Linked DNA regions of Saccharomyces cerevisiae S288C. Changing the gene in region 1 together with any one later gene gives a genetic interaction. Each region holds a gene or a part of one and is shown on either strand. Other genes may lie near its edges.

Region 1 (5,570 bases):
GAATAACTTGGGCATAACCACCACCAGCAGCACCACCTTTGACACCCAGGGTTGGGCCAAGAGATGGTTGTCTAACGTTCGCGATGGATGGTTTCCCTAAATGAGCGGATAAAGCCTGCACCAACCCCATAGTCGTAGTGGATTTACCTTCACCCAATGGAGTCGGAGTAATACCTGCAACAAGGACGTACTTACCGTTTTCTCTAGATTCTAATCTTTTAAAAATATTTGGAGAAATTTTTGCCTTATAGTGGCCGTATAATTCTAATTCGTGAGAGTGGATTCCCAACTCCTCGGCAACTTGCTTGATATGCTTAGGACTCTGAGCTCTTGATATATCAATATCTGAAGGCACTGGACTTTCTAAGTGTAATGGAAGAGGTTTGATAACTGGAAGCTTTTCAGATTCCACGAATTGCCTTTTAGCAGCTAATAGTACATTGGAAACAAGCATAGCGACAGTCATTGGACCCACTCCACCAGGAACAGGGGTAATATAAGATGTCTTTTCCTTTACAGAATCAAAATCAACATCACCAACTAATTTTTGCCCACTTTTCTTACTGATATCAGGTACGTAGTTGATACCTACATCAATAACCACGGCGCCTTCTTTAATCCAGTCTGATTTAACGTATTGAGGAATACCGCAAGCTGCGATAACTATATCAGCTTGGGAGACCACTTCTGCAATGTTCCTTGTATGACTATGACAGACAGTAACAGTGGCATTCGCATTTTTCAACAACGAAGCAATTGGATTTCCGACGATACTTGATCTGCCTAACACGACGGCGTTCTTACCATCTAACTTAACATGAGCTTCTTCAAGTAATTTCATGCAACCATAAGGAGTACATGGTATGAAGTATGGTTTCCCTCCTTTTTTAGCCAATTCACCAGCATTATATCTGTGGAACCCATCAACGTCCTTTTTAAAGTCCACAGCGTTTGTAATCGTGGTTTCATCCAAGTGACGCGGTAGAGGTAGTTGAATTAGCAACCCATGGATAGAGTCATCATCATTGATGTCACTAATTTTCTTCAAAAGCTCAACTTCAGTGATTTCTGCTGGTAACTTCTCTATGATACAGTCTACATTGCTGTCCTTTGAAGCTTTCAATTTCATCCTCACGTACGTAGATGAGTCTGGTCTGGCCCCGACTTGAATGATTTTCAAGGTAGGCTTGAAATTAGGATGCTTAAGCTTAATGGCTTGTATCTCATCATTGGCTTTTTCTCGAATAGATTGAGCAAGTTTCCTACCAGAAAGAATATGGTATTGAGAAGCATGCACAGTTGGCGAAACTTTTAAGCGGTAAATGCGCCATCTGGCCTGTTGGAACGCCCTCGAGTTACTCAATAAAGATAGTCTCGACAACATTTCCTTTTAGCCTTAAATATCTGACAAATGAACAGACTGAGAGAATCACAGTAATGAAAGTTGTTTTTTGATGTGTATTGGCTGGTTTACTTCTGCAATTCTTGAGGCATCGAGAACCGCTGCAACATTATTTCGGAGGAAAAAGAAAAAAAATCGCTGTCCGTTGAAGTGAAAAAAATTTCAGCATGGCGCTAGAGAACTTTCTTACTCGTTCTGGCGCGTCAGTAAAAAAGAACTCGGGAAACAATAAGAACCATACATGTGCGATAGAAGAGTGTTGCAGGAGTAGCTTTGGTTTTGTTCGAGAACTGGTAATGTTTGACTAATACATAATTGTACCGTGCTCAATCATATCTGTGACGGTTCTTACTACGAAGATACGTATGCGTATTTATGTACGAGATGTATGTATGTATGTAGACATTTAATAAAAGTTCCCATGCGATTGGTTGGATGGCGTAAAGTTCCTTTGATGTGGAGAATGTTCGTAATGCTGGGGTGATGATAATAACAGCTGCGAAAAATAAGATGTTTGGTACTGGGGCAGACCTTGAATATAATTGGCATTGTAAGCATCTTCAGCAGGTCTTGGATACATGGGCCTTCCTCGTACTTTGGAGAGTGAGTAGGGCATTCCATTATTCTTGTAGTATGGCACTGGTCTGCTTTGGAGTTGTGTGACTGTGGCTGATCTTGGGACTACTTCTTCCTCCGATTCGTACTCTGAACCGGAATTGGAATTGGAACTGAACTCAGGATTACTTTCATGTTCTTGTATGCGGGAAATTCTTTGGTATTTGTTGATTATCTTTCTCTGCTCTATTTCGATTTTTTTTGCACTCTCCAGGATTGCCTTCTTGTTGGAAAAGCTAGCCTTATTGGGGCGATCTCCCTGGTGGAGTTCCGTGGGGGAAAGTTGTTCAAGAGGCCTCTTTGACGGAACGCACTTGTAGCCGTCTATGTTTTCATAAATGTGCTTAGCGTAAATGAGGGGGGTTTTGGCTTGAGATGCAGCATTAGTTTTTATGAAATTTTCAATTTTTTTCTCGTTGGAAGCAGTGATTGGCGTAAGCAGTTTTGAATGTACTGACAATCCACTGCTATTATTACTTACATAGAGGTTTTTAGGGGTTAAACTTCCAGAATCACTGACTGAAGGTAGAGAGTCGATAATTTCTTCAAATATGTCATAAAACAGGTTTGAGTTTTCAGTAGTTTGTTCAGCGCCATGTTCGATAAGGTGTAGAAGCTCCTTCTCCTTTGATGATAGGGTCAGCGAGTCCTTGATTTTGTTTTGTATGGTCTTCTTCCAGACTTGAATATGGGAAGAAATTTGCTTTTTGGTTCTGAACTCGTTGGTTTTGTGCTTGATATATAATGAAATCAGCTCGTTTCTTCCAAAATTGGCATTTCTTATTTTTATTTTTGTGGTCCCATTTTTCATTATCAGTCTAAGTGCCTCAAGGAATGCCTCTTCTACCTTTTCTGACCACTTATCACAACCGATAGTCCAAGATTCCGTTGTTGACGACGTTTCGCTACTTTGTCCGGGAAAGTAGTTGCTCACAGATATATTTGGTACTTCATTCTTCCTCTGCTTGTCAGTGAACGTAGCCTTTGCTGATGGAGATTTCAAATCGTCCGATTTAGCACCCAGTCCAGTATTTACCAGTTCGAATTGAGGATGCGTGTCTATGAGATTGATGTTATCCTCCGCTTCATTTTTCACACAAGCGGCGGTTGAAACTACGGCTTCTGGAAACATATCATCCAAGGCCGACTGTGAATACGAATCTTTTTGTATATATACGTCAAAAATTCTACCAGTATATGATTCTATATTTCTAGAATTATCCTTGCCAAAGTCGTCTTCTTTAAGACTCATGGTTAAACAGGTATCAGAATTGTTGAAATAGGTGGATTATTCTTCTTGTCGATATGGGAGGAATCTGGCACCAGTCGAAGAATCTCCTGTTTCATAAACATTTATAAAAGTAAGAAAAGGGTTGTCATATGTAAAAAATTAAGCAAGCCTTTTGTTTCAAACTTAATATATACCTCTGCGGGGGAATTACTTTTTTGGTAATAAGCTATTTTCTCCAGCTATGGGCCGTACCATCGAGAGAAACTCCAGCACCATGGATTGCTGATGGTAGCTACAGGTGCTTTTTAACTGTGCATGAGCCAAGAGCCTTGTGAGGGACCATTCGTGGAGTCCAGCTCAGCTTGTTTCCGGAGAGTTTCCCAGAATAATAAGCAAACGCAATCTGAAACACGCACATTCCCGAATTCAATGGGAAATTCTTTGAGTCGTACGCGGAATGCGAGCGGTGCCGGGGAATTCCAATGAGGCTGATTAAACCGGACTACGGGCAAAATGGCTCATCTGAAACACCTTGCGCCGATAAAAGACCCTCACCTGTGTCACTAAATGGAAAGAGTTGGCGTAAAATCTTCCTGTAAAAGGATCTCACCATTTTGGCCTAAAACATCATCATATCTGTTTTCGTGGAAAAAAAAGGCCGCTCATACATGAATACAGTGGGCACATGCCACCTGTTATTCCATAGCTGGCTTTACTGTAATATTAGAATAGTTCCTATCTGTGTGAAAAGTTTCTTTCGTTACCTTTTTTTCAGAGTCAAAAGCTGGAGGAGGCTATTGTACTTGCCTGTAGTTCCAGGTAACAATCGCTTAAGCAGTGAGCCCGCTTAATGAGAGCAAGTTATATATGTTTTGCTAAAACCTGCCAGATTCTCAGCCTAGAAGATATAAATCTAACGTGGATTTGTTACAGGCTGTCATACCTTATGTACTTACGCATCGTATCTTGTATGTGTTCACTTTTTTCTGGTAACTACACCACTTGGCTTAACCTTGCCAGGAACCGAGTAGGCCACACATGTTTTGAATATTGTAAGTGTGTACAATAAGCTGCAGTACTCTTTTGATTCTGTAGGAAACCAGCGAAGAACGTACTCTTGCCTGAAGAGAAGTTTTTTTTATTTATTTATATTTTGTTCTGGAAGCTCTTTACAGAATGGAGTAGGAAAATATATAGAGAGGAAAAGCGAAATCGTTACGAGAATAAATAATCAAGAAAAGAAACTTGAACTTGGCTTTTCCAAAACAACAGAAGTAGCGTTAATTTACTTTCACCGTAAAATTCAACTCTTTAAATATAGTCCACTTAGTAAATTCTTGCCAATTTGCATGATAAATTCGAACCCATTCCTCAAAATAAAGGGTCCTCATACATTCCATGGAAAGAAAGTTTTCTTGAACATTAAGAATAAAAAGGCAAAAAAGAAAAAAAAAAGCACAGCTACTGTTTTAGTCAACATTCCTTTCTCACTGGAATGCACAAGGTGTCATTCCTGAACAAGGGTAACTGCACTATTCATATGTCCACCTTATGACTTCATAAAAAGTTTGACAATAAGTAGTCTTACGTGATAAGAAATGATGTAACATAAGGCTAATGTCCTTATTCCAAAGTATCTCATTTATACAATAAACAAAACTGATCTTACCGCCTATCCTCCTCTCCGCACTAATCAATTGTTATAGTTTTTCTCGAAGCGAGGATCAAATGGCCGAGCAACAGGAAAAGGAGTACCGGCGGTCACATGGTCTGCGAGATTTTTCCCGCTGCGGAAAAACCTGGCAACAGCTCACCTTGAAAGGCCTTGGCCTGTATTTTTCTTTTTTCTTCATCCTTCTTTCTTTTTCTTTATTCTTATTTTTCATCTTAATAAATAATCCAGAGAATAAATCTATCCTGAAAAAAAATAAAGTAAAGAAGCCAGGAAAATCACTATCGCCACAAGTAAATAAATTTCACTGACTATAGAGTACATACATAAACAAGCATCCAAAAAAACATGTCTTCTTCTAAACGTATTGCTAAAGAACTAAGTGATCTAGAAAGGTATGTCTAAAGTTATGGCCACGTTTCAAATGCGTGCTTTTTTTTTAAAACTTATGCTCTTATTTACTAACAAAATCAACATGCTATTGAACTAGAGATCCACCTACTTCATGTTCAGCCGGTCCAGTCGGCGATGATCTATATCACTGGCAAGCATCCATCATGGGACCTGCCGATTCCCCATATGCCGGCGGTGTTTTCTTCTTGTCTATCCATTTCCCAACCGACTACCCATTCAAGCCACCAAAGATCTCC
Region 2 (5,307 bases), on another chromosome or scaffold:
TAATATAGATGTTTGGCACGGTTCTTTGGCCATTAATCTCATATAACGCAGCCTGAATGTCTGCGCCTTCCTTCATGTCATTCAATTGCAAAACCAGAACTTTGGACCTGGGAACCTTTAACTTTTCAAAAAGCGTGTTTAGGGCTGCATGGCAGTATGGACAGTACGTTTTGGATGCGACGAAGATCTCGTTTTCTGCAATAAGGTCCTTGACGTGCTTGATAGTTTCTTGAGATACCATTTTTTTTCCTTCTGAGGTTTTGTCTATTTGTATAATTATGCGAATGCTCGTATAAGTACTGCACGAAGTTCTTTATTTTATGCTAAAGTCCCTTTTTATATTATATAAACTTTTCATTTATTTTATATATTTACTCCTTTCAAGACAAAATTCCCACATCACGTGAATCAGGAGGCGCAAGGGGGGTAGTAAGGCAGTAGTAGATAAAGAAAACAAGCATCGCAATCTGGAAACGCCGTTGCGGCTGCTCGTTATCTGTAGACAGCTCACTTGTGCATGAAGTTCATGTTTTATAGATGATGGAGCCATACTTCAAGGTGATAACTATGAAACTGTTTTGACCTTGACGTGTAAAGTGATCAAGGTAATAGTTAAACTTTATATATGTTGTTTATCAATGTGGTATCCTTTCTAAGGATGAAGACAACACGATTGTGACAGTGTGAGAGAGTGATAAAGCATTGGAGGCAGGCAAAACAAGAACATGGGGTTTCTTTCGGATCATCCGCATACAGCTATCACCGAGACGATCTTTCGAATTGTCTCTTCAAGGGACTATACGCTAGAAGTGGAGTTAGCTCCCTTGATTCAGCTTATCAAAGCAGATCACAACGATTATAACTATACCGTGAACCAAGAAGAAGCTGCGCGAGCACTTAGAAAGAAAATAAAGTATGGGAACCGGCTGCAGCAGTCCAGGACTCTGGACCTCTTGGATCTGTTCATCTCACAAGGCGTGAAGTTTACAGTCATGTACAATGATGACAAGCTGCTGCAAAGGCTGAGAGGGATGGCTACGAACTCTGAAAACAGCGGGTCCGGTGAAAAGTATGAGCCTAGGATTATTAAGAAGTGCGCGGCGTATGCTATCTCGTGGCTAAACTATATTACGCAGAACAACCTTGAGAATGCGAGGGCGTATTCAGGTCTTTATCAATTGGGTCAAACAGTCAAACAGAGGTACTCGAAGAGCAGCCGTTCCCGCCGTAGCGGCGGAGGCTCTGGCGGACGGTCTAACTTCATGGATGATAGCGCCGACGACACTTTGTACCAGTCCAACTCGCTGACTAGTGCCGATAGATTGTATAGGATTCCACAGATCAACATGAACAAAGAGGCACCCAGGATTCGGCTCATAATCAGCGATGCTCTCGCGTCTGCTGTGTCGTTACAGAACTCGCTGATCGGGCTGCCCAAGGGCAAGTTCTCCACAGACGATGAAGAGGCCACGTCCAAGTTCATCCAGGCAAGGGCGATCAGAAGGAAAGTTCTTAGATATCTGCAATTGGTCACGGAGGGTGAGTTTCTGGGTAGCTTAATTCATGCCAATGATGAACTGGTGGCTGCGTTGACTGCATACGACGACCGAAGCGCTCAGGACGATAGCAGCGATGAAAGTGATCACGGCTCGTACGATGACGGTATTTATGATGAAAACGAGCAGGATAACAGCAGGTATATTGATAGCGAGTCCTCAGAGGAAGAGAGCTTGTCTTCTTATCAGCCGTCCACGATCTCAAACCCTTTCGGTGATCATAACAAAATTTGAAGAAGTATGTACGTATGCATACACACATATATATATATATATATATAGTACATTTAATCCTTCTTGAGGTTTAAAGACGCACTGTTCACACAGTGTCTGGTGTCCTTGGGCAAGTTTAGCAACTGTTTCCAGCCTTCACCTTCAAACACATGTCCCAAGTGTCCACCACACCTTGCACAACATATCTCCACCCTCGCAGGCATTAAAGAATTGTCACGATGATATGTGATGGCTCCAGGGGATACCTCTTCGTAGAATGCGGGCCATCCACAACGAGCGTCGAACTTGGCCTTGCTCGAATACAACGGTCTGTCGCAGTTGGCACAATGGTAGACACCGGACTCGTTGGTGTGTAAATACGCACCGGTGTTGGGCCTTTCAGTGGCCTTATCTCTCAGCACCATCAGCTGCAATGGTGTCAGGGCATCGTTCCACTTCACGTCATTCGATTCGTCACTCATTTTCTTGCTCTTATTCCAGTACTGCGTCAGTACAATGTTTCTTCTCCCTGGAAAAGTCCTGCGTACAGTTATAACGTACAGCCTGCTCCACTTATTCATTTTTTGATATTGCTTCCTTTCTCCCTTTATTTAAACTATCATCGGCGACATATTTCCCAATAGGCAAAGCTGAAAAATACTATCGCTAATTATAACAAAGAAGCTAGGTCGAAGGACTCGAAAAGACAGAGGTCGTACTAGCAGAGATAGCAAATCAGATGGAGGACGGTAAACAGGCCATCAATGAGGGATCAAACGATGCTTCGCCGGATCTGGACGTGAATGGCACAATATTGATGAATAATGAAGACTTTTCCCAGTGGTCGGTTGATGATGTGATAACTTGGTGTATATCCACGCTGGAGGTGGAAGAAACCGATCCATTATGTCAGAGACTGCGAGAAAATGATATTGTAGGAGATCTTTTGCCGGAATTGTGCTTGCAAGATTGCCAGGACTTGTGTGACGGTGATTTGAATAAGGCCATAAAATTCAAGATACTGATCAATAAGATGAGAGACAGCAAGTTGGAGTGGAAGGACGACAAGACTCAAGAGGACATGATAACGGTACTGAAAAACTTGTACACTACTACATCTGCGAAATTGCAAGAATTTCAATCGCAGTACACAAGGCTGAGGATGGATGTCTTGGACGTAATGAAGACCAGCTCAAGCTCTTCTCCGATTAACACACATGGAGTGTCCACTACGGTACCTTCTTCAAACAACACAATTATACCCAGTAGTGACGGTGTGTCTCTTTCACAAACAGACTATTTCGACACAGTTCATAACCGACAATCACCGTCAAGGAGAGAATCCCCGGTAACGGTATTTAGGCAACCCAGTCTTTCCCACTCAAAATCTTTGCACAAGGATAGCAAAAACAAAGTACCCCAAATATCTACAAACCAATCTCACCCATCTGCCGTTTCAACAGCGAACACACCGGGGCCATCACCTAACGAGGCGTTAAAACAGTTGCGTGCATCTAAAGAAGACTCCTGCGAACGGATCTTGAAAAACGCAATGAAAAGACATAACTTAGCAGATCAGGATTGGAGACAATATGTCTTGGTCATTTGCTATGGGGATCAAGAGAGGCTGTTAGAATTGAACGAAAAGCCTGTGATCATATTCAAGAACTTAAAGCAACAGGGTTTGCACCCCGCCATTATGTTAAGAAGAAGAGGTGATTTCGAAGAAGTAGCAATGATGAACGGAAGTGACAATGTCACCCCCGGTGGAAGACTCTAATGTGCAGTTGTCATGCACATCATCATACTAAACTTACACGAATAGGATAACATGTATGCTAGCAGAATATATATGAAAGAAAAAAATTATTGATGCCTTTAAACTTATACTATTATACTATATTATGTTATATTATATTATTAGTTTTATAGATATATTGAGATATGTTGAATATGATGACGAGGATGGTGGTTTAAGTGTATGGATTGAATTTTCTCTTAGCTTTCATTACCTTGATTCTTTCTTGATCTTCCTTAAATTTACTTAACAGTTGATTGATCTCCTGTTTTTTACGTTCTCTGACCTGAAATCTATAGAAATCTTTCTTTGCCTTTTTATCTATATTTGAAATTGGCTTGGCCTTATTTTCATGTTTGGATAATGGATTTTTGTTTAATATTTTCTTTCTTATGGAATTCAATGACTTGGTGTTCTTTCCTACAACTAATGTGAATCCATCCTCATCCACTATAGAACTTTGAACATCCTCTTGTGCTTGAGCTTCACGCTGTTCAAAAATTGCCATATGTGTATGAATATCTTCTTTCAAATAATCAATATCCAGTGGTTTGTAGAAGTTAACAAAAGTTGTGAATGATGGAGTCGTATATGTCCATTCAAATAGTTCATTTGGATGTTTGGCATGCAAATTCGAGTATTTTTTCAAAGCATTCCAGCAGTTATTTATACTTGCAGCATCAACAAATTTTAATAGCGCCGTGTTTCTTGGTGTGTATCTCTTCTCGTTGACGTCAGTGGAGGACATCAGATCGGAGGTCAATGCCGATAAATCTACTTCATGTAATCCAAATTCATCGTTATATAGTAGTTCCTCTACATGCGATACTGTATCGTATTTCCCACAGAGCTGCCCGACAAATTTCTTCATGTGCTCTATGTTAGATAATAATGGAAGGTTGACCAAAAACAAACAGTCAGACTCGTTGGAATTTGAACTCTGGTGTCTTTTAGCAAACATGAAATGCAACGAAGCTTCCTGGCTTTTGGGTAGTGCCTTGTGATCCGGTAATTTGAACGGCACCACTATAAACCCGTTCTTCATGGCGCTAATGTCTTCAATACCCATCCCGTAACACTCTATCTGAGGTTGTTATCTGTTACCTAGTTCGTTCGCCCTAAATGCCTCTTGCTTTACCATCCTCTCAATGTTCTCTTCTTTTTCCTGCTTATTTCTTAGGTGACCAAAAAGTGAAAAATTTTCCAATTTAACTTACGTCGTTCGAAGTGATGACAATAAGGATATTCATTTATTAATCGCTATTTGATACCCACTCTTGCTACTACCTCTCTTTTAATCCAAAATTACAATTTTTACGTTACCATTCATTACATAGTGTATCTCTATTCATTCAAGACTGTATTTTGTTTGATATATATATGTATATATACATATTATTTTCGTTAGTGTTCGGTTTCCAAGTTAGAAATAATCTACTGGAAATCCTTTGGGATCAACCCAAGCTTACTCATTCTGATTTTCACAGCGTTTCTGTGACCGTCTAGACCCTCCTTCTTGGCAACGCACATAACAGCTCTACCGATGTTTTCTAAACCTTCAGGGGTAATGTTTTGGGCAGTGATAAACTTTTGGAAGGTTGCAGTGTTGGCACCACTGTACTGCCTAGCGTAACCATAGGTTGGTAATGTATGGTTAGTACCACTTGAATAGTCACCGCACGATTCTGGAGTGTAAGCACCCACAAATACGGACCCTGCATTGTCAACCAATTTAACATA
Region 3 (6,031 bases), on another chromosome or scaffold:
TAAACTTTCTCGATGCGTAGCTGAAATTTCAACTTCAAAAAAAAAAAAACGCGTGTAACTTTCTACGTGCAAAACGATGTGTATGAATCCCGTCTTAATTAGTAAATAGGGTCTAGTAAGCGTAGCGAGGATGAATTAAATGCATTGTTGAATATGAAGAGCACCTTATGGTATATAAATGTACAATCTTGATTCATGACAGCTTTGCAAGTAAACGTATCAAATGAATATCACGATTTTGGCTGTATTACCCGGGCAGTATACGCGGCGAATTTTGTTAAAAAATGTGTTAGACTTAAGTCGGAGCAAATGAATAATGGGCATATATAGCGCATAGGTTCGCTAGTGTAAGACAGGAGACTGTCCAATAGCATTCGAATCATAACCGAATCTTTGCCAGTGTGTGTATAAAATACGACAATGTCTTCCAATCCAGAAAATTCTGGTGTTAATGCGAATAATAATACGGGCACTGGTAACGCTGATGCGATCACAGGAGCTCAGCAAAATATGGTACTGCAACCGAGACAGTTGCAAGAAATGGCCGCTAAGTTCAGGACATTACTGACTGAAGCAAGAAATGTAGGTGAAACTACTCCTAGGGGCAAGGAATTGATGTTCCAAGCCGCAAAGATCAAACAGGTATATGATGCCCTTACACTGAATAGGAGAAGACAACAGGCTGCGCAAGCCTACAATAATACTTCAAATTCAAATTCAAGCAATCCAGCTTCTATTCCTACTGAAAATGTCCCTAATTCATCACAGCAACAACAACAACAACAACAACAGACAAGAAACAACAGTAACAAATTTAGCAATATGATAAAACAGGTTCTCACCCCGGAAGAGAACCAAGAATATGAAAAGCTATGGCAGAATTTCCAAGTCCGTCATACGAGTATAAAGGAGAAAGAGACCTACTTGAAACAAAATATTGATAGGTTAGAACAAGAAATAAATAAACAGACGGACGAAGGGCCCAAGCAGCAGCTACAAGAAAAGAAAATTGAACTGCTTAACGATTGGAAGGTGCTAAAAATTGAGTATACCAAGCTGTTCAATAATTATCAAAACAGTAAAAAAACATTCTATGTAGAGTGTGCAAGACACAATCCGGCTTTACATAAATTCTTGCAAGAAAGCACTCAACAGCAACGAGTGCAGCAACAAAGGGTACAACAACAACAACAACAACAGCAGCAGCAGCAGCAACAGCAGCAACAGCAACAGCAACAGCAACAGCAACGCCAGGGTCAAAACCAAAGAAAGATTTCTAGTTCTAATTCTACTGAAATACCCTCTGTAACCGGCCCTGATGCACTGAAATCGCAGCAGCAGCAGCAGAATACAATAACTGCCACCAATAATCCCAGGGGCAATGTTAACACTTCACAGACTGAACAATCGAAAGCTAAGGTAACCAATGTAAATGCAACGGCATCTATGTTGAATAATATAAGTTCGAGCAAATCGGCAATATTCAAACAAACAGAGCCTGCCATACCCATATCGGAAAATATATCTACCAAAACACCAGCACCGGTAGCTTATAGATCCAACAGACCTACAATAACTGGAGGTTCTGCTATGAATGCCAGTGCTTTGAATACACCAGCAACAACTAAATTACCACCCTATGAAATGGATACTCAGAGAGTTATGTCAAAGCGTAAATTAAGAGAGTTAGTGAAGACTGTCGGAATTGATGAGGGTGACGGTGAAACTGTCATTGACGGTGATGTTGAGGAATTACTATTGGATCTTGCCGACGATTTTGTTACTAATGTTACAGCTTTTTCTTGTAGATTGGCAAAACACAGAAAATCGGACAATTTGGAGGCAAGAGACATTCAGTTACATTTGGAGAGAAATTGGAATATTAGGATTCCTGGTTATTCCGCAGACGAAATAAGAAGTACAAGAAAATGGAATCCCTCTCAAAATTATAACCAGAAATTGCAGAGTATCACATCAGATAAGGTAGCAGCTGCAAAAAACAATGGAAACAATGTTGCAAGCTTGAATACAAAAAAATAATTATGTTACCCACATTCTCCACTCTTCCACAGAAAAAATTCCTAAAGTTATAGTTCACATTGTTATATATGTATCTATAAAGCGAAATTTTTTAAAATTAATTGATTAATTAATATTTTGTATCTAAAGTGTTCATACTATATTATTTACTTAGATTATACATAATTAAAAAAAAAAAAAACTTTTTTTCCTTGTTTTCATTTTGTTTTTATTATTAAATATTAAAAAAAGTGTCCATAACATCAATGTTTTTTTTTACCTTTGATTAGTTTTCATTGGCGAAACCATAATCCCCGTTCCATTCCCATCATAACTACGCTCTCTTCTGAGTTGATCTTCAAGCTTGAACATCAACTGTCCATTATGATCCTTGTTAATATTTTCTTTGATTGGACTACTAGAAACACTTGAAGTTCCATCTTTTCTTGGTCTTCCTCTTTTTCTTGGAGACCTTTTAATTACCACGTTTTCATACTTTTTACCACCGCTGCAAATCATTCTACTTCTGTGCACAACCAAAGCGTCTTCTCTATTGAATTTCTTACCACAGGGACATGCATACGCCTTTTCTTGGTGCGATTTTTTGTGTCTTATCAAGTCATGATTTCGTACAAATGCCTTATCACATCCAGGGTGATCACAGGAATATGGCCGATCTTCCAAATGTGTTTGAATATGAGATCTGATGTTATACCTTCTCTTGAATGTTTTTGTACATCCAGGAAATAAACATTCAAATGTTTTATCAGGCATTTCCTTCACATATTTATCGATTGAACCTCTGGGCAGTGTTGTGAGTTTTCTTGTGATTTTTGAGGGACTATTTGTGGTATATGTGTTGATTTCCTTAATGTGTGTGCCGAATTGAGGAGATCTTCCTTCGTACTTACTTTGTGACTTAAGAACGGGAGAAGGCGTTTCGGAAATAACAAATCTACTTTCAGGCTCATTTTCCTCATTATCATCTCCTTCATTGTCTGTATTTTTCGTAAGTACATTAGGGTCTAAATCATTGAAAACGCCTTCCCGATGTCGTGCTTGCTGGCTCGGCGGCTTTAGATGTGGTGTCGCAGCATTGATACCCAATGCATTCTCACTGATAGAGCTAAAGTGTAACTGCTTACCTCTTGGTGTATATTGGTCTATATAACTGGAGGAAAGGGATACTTTATTGACTGATGGAGTATTATTTACAGACCCAGGAATTGTAGGCATAATATCCACAGAAGCACTCTTTAAAGACACTGATTTTGTAGGAGAAGGACCTGGTTTTCCAAGAAGTTCAATACCCAGGCCCAAAGGTTTCTCTGAATATTCGCTTTCCTGATCTTCAACATTAATCTTGAAATCTAACCTTAAGTTATTAGGGGTAATGTTAGCAGAGTTGGACGTAGCTGAACTAACTCTACTCTTTGGAGTGAAGGGCGTAATAAATTTGGTTTTTGAACTGAGGTTTTCATTTGGATTCGAGCGAATTTTCTTTGGTGAAATGAGGGAGTCATTGAAACCTTCGTTCAATTCCTGGAAACATAGTGGTCCTACAGTACCACTAGAGTTTTTTCTCTGCAGGCAGTACTTTTGTCTATTGTTTCTCCTAGAAGGTGACCCAGTGAACGAAGTATTAGACATTGGTGGGGAAATCATTGGTGAAAGGCTATTTGCGTATACATCCTCCACATTTTCTGAAGCAGGAGAGATCTTCCTTTTGGGAGATAAAAACTGTGGACCATCAGAGTTCTCTAAGGTAGCCTGTAGTTGTTGTTGCTTGTATTGTGTTTGTTTGAGTTCTAACTCTAACTTCTTATTAGCCTCTTGTTGTGCTCTCAATTGCTCGCGCAACTCTTGTTGTTGCTGTAACAGTAATTCCCCGAGGTTTCTATCGAAGCCTTTATTAATTTCACTTTTGTTTATAGTCGACAATAAATTATCCGCCATGGAAATCTTCTTTTCATCGTGGGGCTTATCACTCATTGTTTTTTGATAAACAGTCATACCACTGTCTTGATTTAATCTATTTTCATTCAACAAGCTAGTTGCATTTAGAGTCACTTCTCTTGAATTATTTTCTAAGTCAAAGTTCATACTTTGCCAATCATTTCCTATTAACTCGGAGAAAGTAGAAACCTTGACAGATTTTTCATCAGAAAGTGGTCCCAGCGGAAGGTTTAAGTCATTTATTTCATTCATTATAACTTCGTTGGTTTCACCATAGTTTAGGTTCAATATATTGCCTAAATCATCTGTTGCTAGTGTTTTATATTCGCCTTCTATTGCATAACTCGAAGGGTCACTGCCTCTAGCATTTGAGTAATAAGAGTTGGTTTGTAGGTCAAAATTTAGGCTTTGTACTTTTGAGGCATCAAACCAAGAGTTTGATGTATCCATCTTTTTCGAAAAAACAATGACGTTAATATTTTATTTGATTGCGCTTTAATTATATCGCAGATGTTAAACACGTTCTCAGGATCTATTTACCTAGCTCCAAGAACGAGTTATATGGTGGTATCTATATTGTCGTTCTCAAATCTTTCTTCCAACGATGCCTTTTTGTCTTCCGTGCCAATACATAAATAGTGAATAAAATTGCAGACGATCCTCTATAGTACTCAATCATTGTTTATAGAGCAGATCTATAGGGAGAAAGAAAGATAATTAGTCGCTAATGGTAGGTATTGTTATTGTTTACCTTTTTCCTAAACAGGTTAAAGTACGAAAGTGAAAATTTCATCCTCTCTACTTGCCCGGATTGGGATTCAGACCAAGATATTTCCAACAATGCTGCTATGAATTGGAACAGAGATGTTCTAATGAATATTTAACAAGGTGTGAGCGGAGTGTACCACTCCTATCGGCTTTCAGATAATCATACTACCTTTCAGAATATCTAACAATAACACTCCGATATTTGATTCGCTCTCCTTTAAGACAGAAATAACATTGGCCCTAGAATCCAATGCCGTAAATATCTACTTGACACCATTTAATGAAAGAACTGTCTGACTGCCGAAGTTTTATAAGTAGTTTGACTATGTTTCATAAGTTAGGCCACTAGACAGCATGTGAAAACGGTGATGATAGTAAAAAAATATCGTTTGGGTTTTGGCTACCCGGAGGTCGTTTGCAAAAGAAAGTGTATGCAAATCTACAAAACAATAGATGTCGTTGTTGAGATAACAGATTGGCACAAAATTACTAAATTGTTGTGGTACGCAGCTATAGTTTGTACGAAAGTAGTAGCAGAAATTAACAGATACAGATCTGCAATTTGGCATAATGTACACCAATTATTCACTTACAAGCAGTGACGCAATGCCCCGAACTTACTTGGTCGGCACAGCCTCACCAGAAATGTCTAAGAAAAAGCGCCAGTCTGCAAATTGTGACAAGCCAACGAGGAGGGTGATCCACATCATCGATACTAATGAGCACTCAGAAGTCGACTTGAAAAATGAACTGCCAATAACATGCACGAATGAAGACGGTGAGATGACATCAAGCTCATGGACTTCACAAACCGCTAATGATTTTCTCAAACTGGCATACGTAAACGCGAAATTAGACCCGTCTTTGCCATCTCAATATTTCAAACAAGATATCATAAATGTTTTACAAAGCTTGGAGATTCCTGGATGGTCTGTGCCCGGCTCTAAAGAATCCTCGTTGAATAAGAATTTATTAACTTTGACACAAATCAAGGGGGCCCTTACAAATGTTATTTATAAGATTCACTATCCAAACTTACCCCCTTTACTGATGAGAATTTTTGGTGATAGCATAGATTCTGTAATTGATAGAGAGTATGAATTAAAGGTTATTGCGAGATTATCATTTTATGATTTAGGACCCAAACTAGAAGGGTTTTTTGAAAATGGCAGATTTGAAAAATACATTGAGGGTTCGAGGACATCTACTCAAGCCGACTTTATAGATCGGGATACTTCAATAAAAATTGCTAAAAAATTGAAAGAGTTGCATTGTACTGTTCCATTAA
Region 4 (6,481 bases), on another chromosome or scaffold:
ATAGGTGTTAACAAAAGGAAATAGTCCCGCTTAGACGGCTATGATGGTAACATGCATGGTGCAACAACTACAGAATAGGAGCACAACTTGAAGGCGTCCATAAAGAATAAGGTGTCTTTTTGTGATGGTTGTTTAATAGCAAACATACATATATACTTATAGAATTATTGTACAGGAAGTTTATCGAAAGGTGCATTTTTCTGTTTATGAGACAATACCCCGTAGCTATTCTGTGATATACTAGAAAGAACGGGCGGTATTATGATACGAATTGAAGGGAGGTAGGGGAAAGGAAGGTGGAAATGAAAGTGGAAAATACAATTTAGTGTGATGAAAACTTAATAAAACAACTACCGGAGTTGGTAAAAATATAGTTATAATCACAAGGATCAGGAGGAAAAGAAAAAAAAGTGAATAAAATAAATAACAATGATTACCCGTTGGGATACCTAAAATGAAATGAAACAAAAGTAATTGAAACAAAAGTAATTGGAACAAAGGTAATAAACATACAGTGAGGTGCTTTGAACTTTTAGACAACTAGAGATTAAAAAGGCAAAGATCACATCTTAACCTTTTTGAGTGCCGGAGCGGCCTTATCTTCAGTTTTAGGATCAGCACTGGACGTGCTGCTATCCTCTTGATTCAGTAAAGAATAAACACCGCTCCCTTTTCTCTTACTATTGTCAGCCTCGCCAGTATTCTTAGTGGTGCTCGTTGTGGGCAAAGATGGCTGCGGTAGTTCTATTTGTGGTGCAGGTTCTGCTTGTGATAGGCTTGAGCTGTGCTCGACGTTCATGGGGGAGTTTATTAAATTTGAAGAAACAGCAGGAAGATTGTCCATGTTTTTTGGAGGAGGGCCCGTCAAGACAGACGAGTCTAATGGAGTTACCGAATCTGGAGCACAATTAGCAGCTTTGTTTAATGAGCGAAGCAATCCCTGCTGAGAGTACCGAATTGGGGCTGGATTGTTGGCAACTAGTGTAAAAGAGGAGGATAAAGACGTGCCCGAAATACTGGATTTGAGAGAGTTTCTAGGTTTGGGATACAGACTATCTTCATTCAACGATGATCTCGGTGTCAGCTTCAGAGGACTGTTTCTTCTATCGTTGGGCAAAGAGCTTGTAGACCCGAGACTTCTCATTTTTGGTTGAGAATACAATCTCGTTGTTGGTTCATTAATAGGATATATTGGACTCGGAGCCATATTTTGAGGGACAGGCTTGTTGTAGTCACGGACAGAAGGATTAATATTCATGATAGGATAGTTTAGTGGACCCTGAACTCCAACACTCGCTGCGGGAGTCAGCGGGTCCATGAGAACACTATTGGTCCTCTTCGTGTTGCCCGGTTTGTTGTTATTTTTCGAGGCAAAAGGATTGTGCATCATTTGTGGAGTGCTAAAAGTGTCTGCATATTGTGGAGGTAGTTGTTGGATGGGTATCGGCTGATTGATAAAGTTTGGTACATGTGCCGGTTGCTTCGCATAAGTCACATGTTGTTGCGACTGCGGTTGGTATTGTACAAAAAGTTGCGAGGGCGGCACTGAAGCCGTGTTGAATCTCGAAGGGATGTTCGTGGTCGAGGAAGATTTCTGCGGGACATACTGGTTCCCTGGAGGAACCATCATCTCATACTGAGATTTGGGTGCATATGCAGATGTGGATGTGGGCGCGGGTGCAGGGGCGACAGAGGCAGCGGTAGCGGCAGCATTTACAGCACAAAGAGAATCTATTGTACGGTGGGCCCTCGACATGACGTGCTGTTTGAAAGTTAACATATCGCTTTCGAATGCCTGAAGTTGCTTTTGGTGATCCTTCACGATATTTTCCGATTTTTTCTTGCTCACATTCTTGAAGGTGAAACTCTGTGAACAAAAACTGTGTTGCAAAGATATGAAATGCTGCATAGACTCTATAATCTTAACCATATCAAAATTTATTTCTTTCAAATGTTTCAGTGTTTCATCTTGAAAGTTCGGAGGTCTGTTTTGCTCTTGCATTTCCGGGTTATTGGATTCCAGCGGGGCATGGTTTGCGTTTTCGTAAGTTACATGAGAGTTATTAAAGTACTCGGGGATAGAGTTATTGGCGCCCGGAATTTGCGGAACGAAATTACCAAAGGAATTGGAACTGGTGGACGGGTCTTGAATCGAAGAGGGTCTTACTCTTGCACCGGAATCTATATCGTAGTTTTGATTACTAGAATTCTTTCGACTGTTAATTGAGGAGTTATTACGGGAAGAAGCTCTTCTCTTAATGTGTTTGAGTCCCTCAATGTCACCTTTCTTGAAAATACCAGAACTATGCTTAAATTCCCAGATTTTAGTGGGGTTACTTTTCTCCTTTTCTTGGACACCGCCACCGGTATTTTCGTCGCCACTACTGTTTTTGTTGCCACTATTATCATCGTGAGTATTGCTGTCATCATTAGTATTGGCGTCGTCGCCACTATTAGCGTCGTTGCTGCTATGATCATGCGACACCTTGTGAAAGCCGTAAATGTTCAACTGTCTTACAAAGCTCGTGATATTAGTATGCTTGAAATATGTAGCCAAAGCCTTACTAAACCGTTCCACAGGCTTAATCATGAAGGATAAGCCCGAAGGGGTCCACCATATCAAGTCGTGTAGCGATTCGTCCTCCAGAATCTGGTATAGCTTATGGATGAATATCGCATTTTGTGGCGGCCTGGGCCCCACTAGCATCTTCGACCCATGTTTCTTAACATCCTCGGCACCGTCGCCGCCTTCAGCACCAGCATTAGCTATTCCAGCTGCTGCTCCACCACTACCTACATCGGTTCCAGCCGGGGCCGGTGTAGAAGCTGGAGCTGGGGCTGAGACCGTTTCCTCTTCACTCATGATTTTTTCTTCTTTTTTTCTATATAACTGATTTGTGCTGTCTTAGGACCCTCTGAATGTACCAAATAGTGTCGAATTACAATATTCTTTGTTATGTATATAGAGCTGAGTGCTTTGTGTGCGTATGCGTATGTGTGTGTGTGTGAATTTTTTCCTTGAACCTGTCACTGTGGCGATGAAGGTTCACTATGTTCTTTTTTCCCTGCTTTTCAAACTATCTTTGAAACTTTCCACTTCACACCAGTACGACTTCTTTGAAAAATTCGTAAGTCGAATAAATAATATTATTTCGCCGTGCGTTTGTGTTTCTGTTTCAACAACCCTTTGTGTGCACCTGTATAGAGTGTTTAAAAAGAGATCCTTCTTGCTAGCTGAAAAAGTTTATGTCGAATAAAAACGTCTTTTCATGTACTGAACATCTGTTTTTCCGGCGGAGATGCAGCGATGGATGCGCTTGCTGCCAAGGCATCTGTGCCGGGCGGGTGATGTCCGGGCGACCCGGCACGGAAGTAAAAGATACTATTGTTGAAAGGTACTTCTCACTACAAGGCTTAAGGACCTGTCGGAGTAGAGGAAAGAAGAGAAGAAGCCGGAAAAGGAGAGTCGTCACCTGTAAAAGGAATCTTAAGTAATTGATTTTTGTTAAGTAAGCTACGATGATGGATAATCAGGCTGTAAAGTCACTGCTAGAAATGGGTATTCCACACGAAGTAGCTGTGGACGCCCTCCAAAGAACTGGCGGTAATTTGGAGGCAGCAGTTAACTTCATCTTTTCGAACGAGCTGCCGGAGCAAGCGGAAATGGGTGAGGAGAATGATGGCAGTCAGCCTAGGATTTCTGAGAACAAAATAGTGGCTGGAACCAAGCCCTGCGATGTTCCGAACAACGGGGACCAAGACATTGATATGCCGGATGTGAGTGGTGTCGATGTTGATTATGATGACGATGAAGACATCACGGATGAACGCAGCGGTTCTAATAGCACCAGCGGATGCAGGGTTACTGCTCAGAACTACGATCGTTATTCTATATCGGAGACATCCATTCCTCCCCCCTCTTATAGTATAGTACAACACAACGAGTTCAAGTCGAACGTGGGCGATCCTACGGTTGTGTTGCCGCTACCCTTGAATAGTCTAATTGAGAGCTATTTTGGGCTGTTTGCGTTGCTCACGGCCGTGTATTTCCCACACGTGTTCTTGAAACCGGACTTTAAGGATTTGAACTATAGGGCAGACTGGTTCAAGGGCTCATCGTTTACGGAGCCCAAATACAGACTTGCATATTGCGAGGCAGAAGATGGTTCCACTACGTCGGAGATCGTGCTGGCCAGCGGACCTAATGAAGGGTTGCAACCGCATCTGCTCTGGCAGTTGCAAAAACTCATCTCCGTGGTTAACACGCGAAAGTGTGAAAGAGCCTTTGTTTCGGCCAAGGTGTTTACGTCGTCCTTGGAACCGCAATTGAGGTCCAAGCTGGCCGATTCCGAGCATCTTTATGAGGTGCTCCCAGCGTTTATCAAATCATTGGCAGTGGATTTGGAAATGTGTCCTGGGATCAGAGACCGGGAAACAAGAAGTCTCTTTATATCTTCTGCTTTGCATACTCCGAACAAGAATGAACCTCCAATGGAGACGTTTTTGTCCTTGTTTCATTTTCTTCCTGAAGAGTACGATTCTAATCTATATAAAATGTTCAACGTTTTATTGTACCCCGAAGAAGAGGAAGAAGAAGAAGACGTGATTCGTGGTGGCGAGCAAGAAGAGGCGAGATATGTGGAACCGGAGAATACTTTGAAGGAGGTGGCACCCGTATTAACAATCCTGTTCAATGAACTAGAAACAAATACAGAATCAGTGTCTCTACCCAATGGCGTGGATATACCGCTTGAGTTTTACCCACAGCTTTACACCAAACAGTGCAAAGACCAACTAATAAGACATATTATTTCTAAACGAAAGCAAGCGCGGACCAGATCCAGATGCTTGCTTCAAGAGATCAACGAGTTAAAGAGTTACCAAGGCAAAAACATATCCACTATTCTAGAGTCGACGCTGGCGTATCTACAAACAATTCCTGACGATGCTAATAATGAAGCAGCAAAGCAGATCGCATCGTTGAAAGATACATTAAATTCTGCGAGAGCCGCTAAAATGGAGGAATATAAGGACTTGGCGTCCAAACTGCATGGAGAATGGAACCTTTCACATCCAGAGACACACATAATCAACACTGCAAAGCAATTGGGACTGATCGAAAATCCCTACATCCTCACAATGGCAGCACTATCGCCATATTCATACTTTATCAGAAGCAGAAACGGTGCATGGTCATGGATACAAAGTAATACGTTGGGAACAGAATTCAAGGTGAAAAAATGTTCGTCGCCTTCTGTCGTTCAAGAAGCCATCAAGCATGGCACGAAGTACGCAAGTGAAACTCCGCTGATGTTCATATACTGTGAAGAGGGTAAAATTCCCACGGAAGAAGTAGTCGCGGAAGCGTTGAAAAGCAATAGCGGGTGCTTAAAATTTGCTGAGGATGACCAAAATTCATTAAAAACATTGCGTTCGCAATTTTTCGATGGTATGGGAGATCCTGAACAAGCCACCAACAATATTAACAATGGTAACGATAATGACAATGACGATGACATCGATTCTGATAATTAGATAGATTTCTATACACTTTCCGCCAGATAAATAACGTATGTCTCTTTAAACTATGATCTCATTTTCTCTAGTAATTTTGAACCGCATATATGTTACTAGTTTACGTTTTCAATACTATAGAAACTCCGCTTGGAGGCTAACTGCGCCCGCAATCCGAAAACTTCTATTTACGGACATAAATTAGACTCTAAGGATCAAACAAAAATAAAAAGGTTGACAGATAAAGGACAGTTTTAATTTTTATACTTTTGATCTGAAATAATGCCAAGTCCTAAACTTATTATAATATAGCCTCGAACACAAGATCATTGAGTTGCTTTTTCTAACTTCTCCTTTCTTTATTTTACTTTAGCCGCAACAATACCCCTTCTATTTTAATTCTGACTTCAATTCATTTCAACTTTACGACCTTTTTTTTCAATTTCGGTTCTGCAGTACTCTTCATTTGTCGATTAATTCGAGGTTTTCATTATTTCTTGAAATTTCTTTCAAGTTGCTTTAGTTTCATTTCCAAAAGAGATTTAAATAACTTACCTTTTTCTCATTCCTTTCGATTATTTTACTTTCCAACAATTAGCTCTTATCACATTCATTGACCTTCGCAAACAATACCCTTCAAATATTTGCATGAGATTACATTATAGAAGAAGATTTAATTTTTTAAGGAGAATACTTTTTATATTATGCATTACTTCATTGTATTTATCGAGAGATTCACTAAAGCTACATGCAAAAAATGTATTAATGGATCATAATGTAGCAGAATATCATGGCGGAATGATAGACGATATTCAAATCCTGCGGTGCTACCATTGGTACAGGCAATGTAGTTCTTTGTATGCCCCGAAATTACACCCCTCCAATACTGCTAAAAAGATCAAAGACAAAAACAGCATTCTGTGGACCAGAGTTTCTAAGAATATTACTGTAGAGACATTGTATTCAC

What was found.
Region 2: mutations in TEC1 (region 1) and STE50 together harm fitness more than expected from each alone (negative genetic interaction), as found in Saccharomyces cerevisiae (2 studies listed by BioGRID).
Region 3: mutations in TEC1 (region 1) and SWI5 together harm fitness more than expected from each alone (negative genetic interaction), as found in Saccharomyces cerevisiae (3 studies listed by BioGRID).
Region 4: of TEC1 (region 1) and SFL1, changing one suppresses a phenotype caused by changing the other (phenotypic suppression), as found in Saccharomyces cerevisiae (4 studies listed by BioGRID).

What each region holds. Positions count from the first base shown.
Region 1 is NC_001134.8:406,868-412,437, reverse strand, and holds TEC1 (Tec1p), read right to left. Parts: upstream 3,270-5,570; coding exon 1,809-3,269; downstream 1-1,808. Other genes in the region: trifunctional formate-tetrahydrofolate ligase/methenyltetrahydrofolate cyclohydrolase/methylenetetrahydrofolate dehydrogenase MIS1, read right to left, coding at 1-1,384; E2 ubiquitin-conjugating protein UBC4, read left to right, coding at 5,269-5,315, 5,411-5,570. UniProt on the Saccharomyces cerevisiae protein: TEC1 is involved in the activation of TY1 and TY1-mediated gene expression. It is not involved in mating or sporulation processes.
Region 2 is NC_001135.5:60,933-66,239, forward strand, and holds STE50 (Ste50p), read left to right. Parts: upstream 1-2,508; coding exon 2,509-3,549; downstream 3,550-5,307. Other genes in the region: dithiol glutaredoxin GRX1, read right to left, coding at 1-241; LSB5 (Lsb5p), read left to right, coding at 726-1,790; MXR2 (peptide-methionine (R)-S-oxide reductase), read right to left, coding at 1,844-2,350; RRP7 (Rrp7p), read right to left, coding at 3,743-4,636; HIS4 (trifunctional histidinol dehydrogenase/phosphoribosyl-AMP cyclohydrolase/phosphoribosyl-ATP diphosphatase), read right to left, coding at 5,002-5,307.
Region 3 is NC_001136.10:746,318-752,348, forward strand, and holds SWI5 (DNA-binding transcription factor SWI5), read right to left. Parts: upstream 4,426-6,031; coding exon 2,296-4,425; downstream 1-2,295. Other genes in the region: TAF12 (Taf12p), read left to right, coding at 421-2,040; bifunctional choline kinase/ethanolamine kinase EKI1, read left to right, coding at 5,314-6,031. UniProt on the Saccharomyces cerevisiae protein: Determines the mother-cell-specific transcription of the HO endonuclease gene that is responsible for the initiation of mating-type switching in yeast. Recognizes a specific sequence in the promoter of the HO gene.
Region 4 is NC_001147.6:583,363-589,843, reverse strand, and holds SFL1 (Sfl1p), read right to left. Parts: upstream 2,864-6,481; coding exon 563-2,863; downstream 1-562. Other genes in the region: RUP1 (Rup1p), read left to right, coding at 3,520-5,535; SIA1 (Sia1p), read left to right, coding at 6,163-6,481. UniProt on the Saccharomyces cerevisiae protein: Involved in cell surface assembly and regulation of the gene related to flocculation (asexual cell aggregation). Mutations in SFL1 causes constitutive cell aggregation.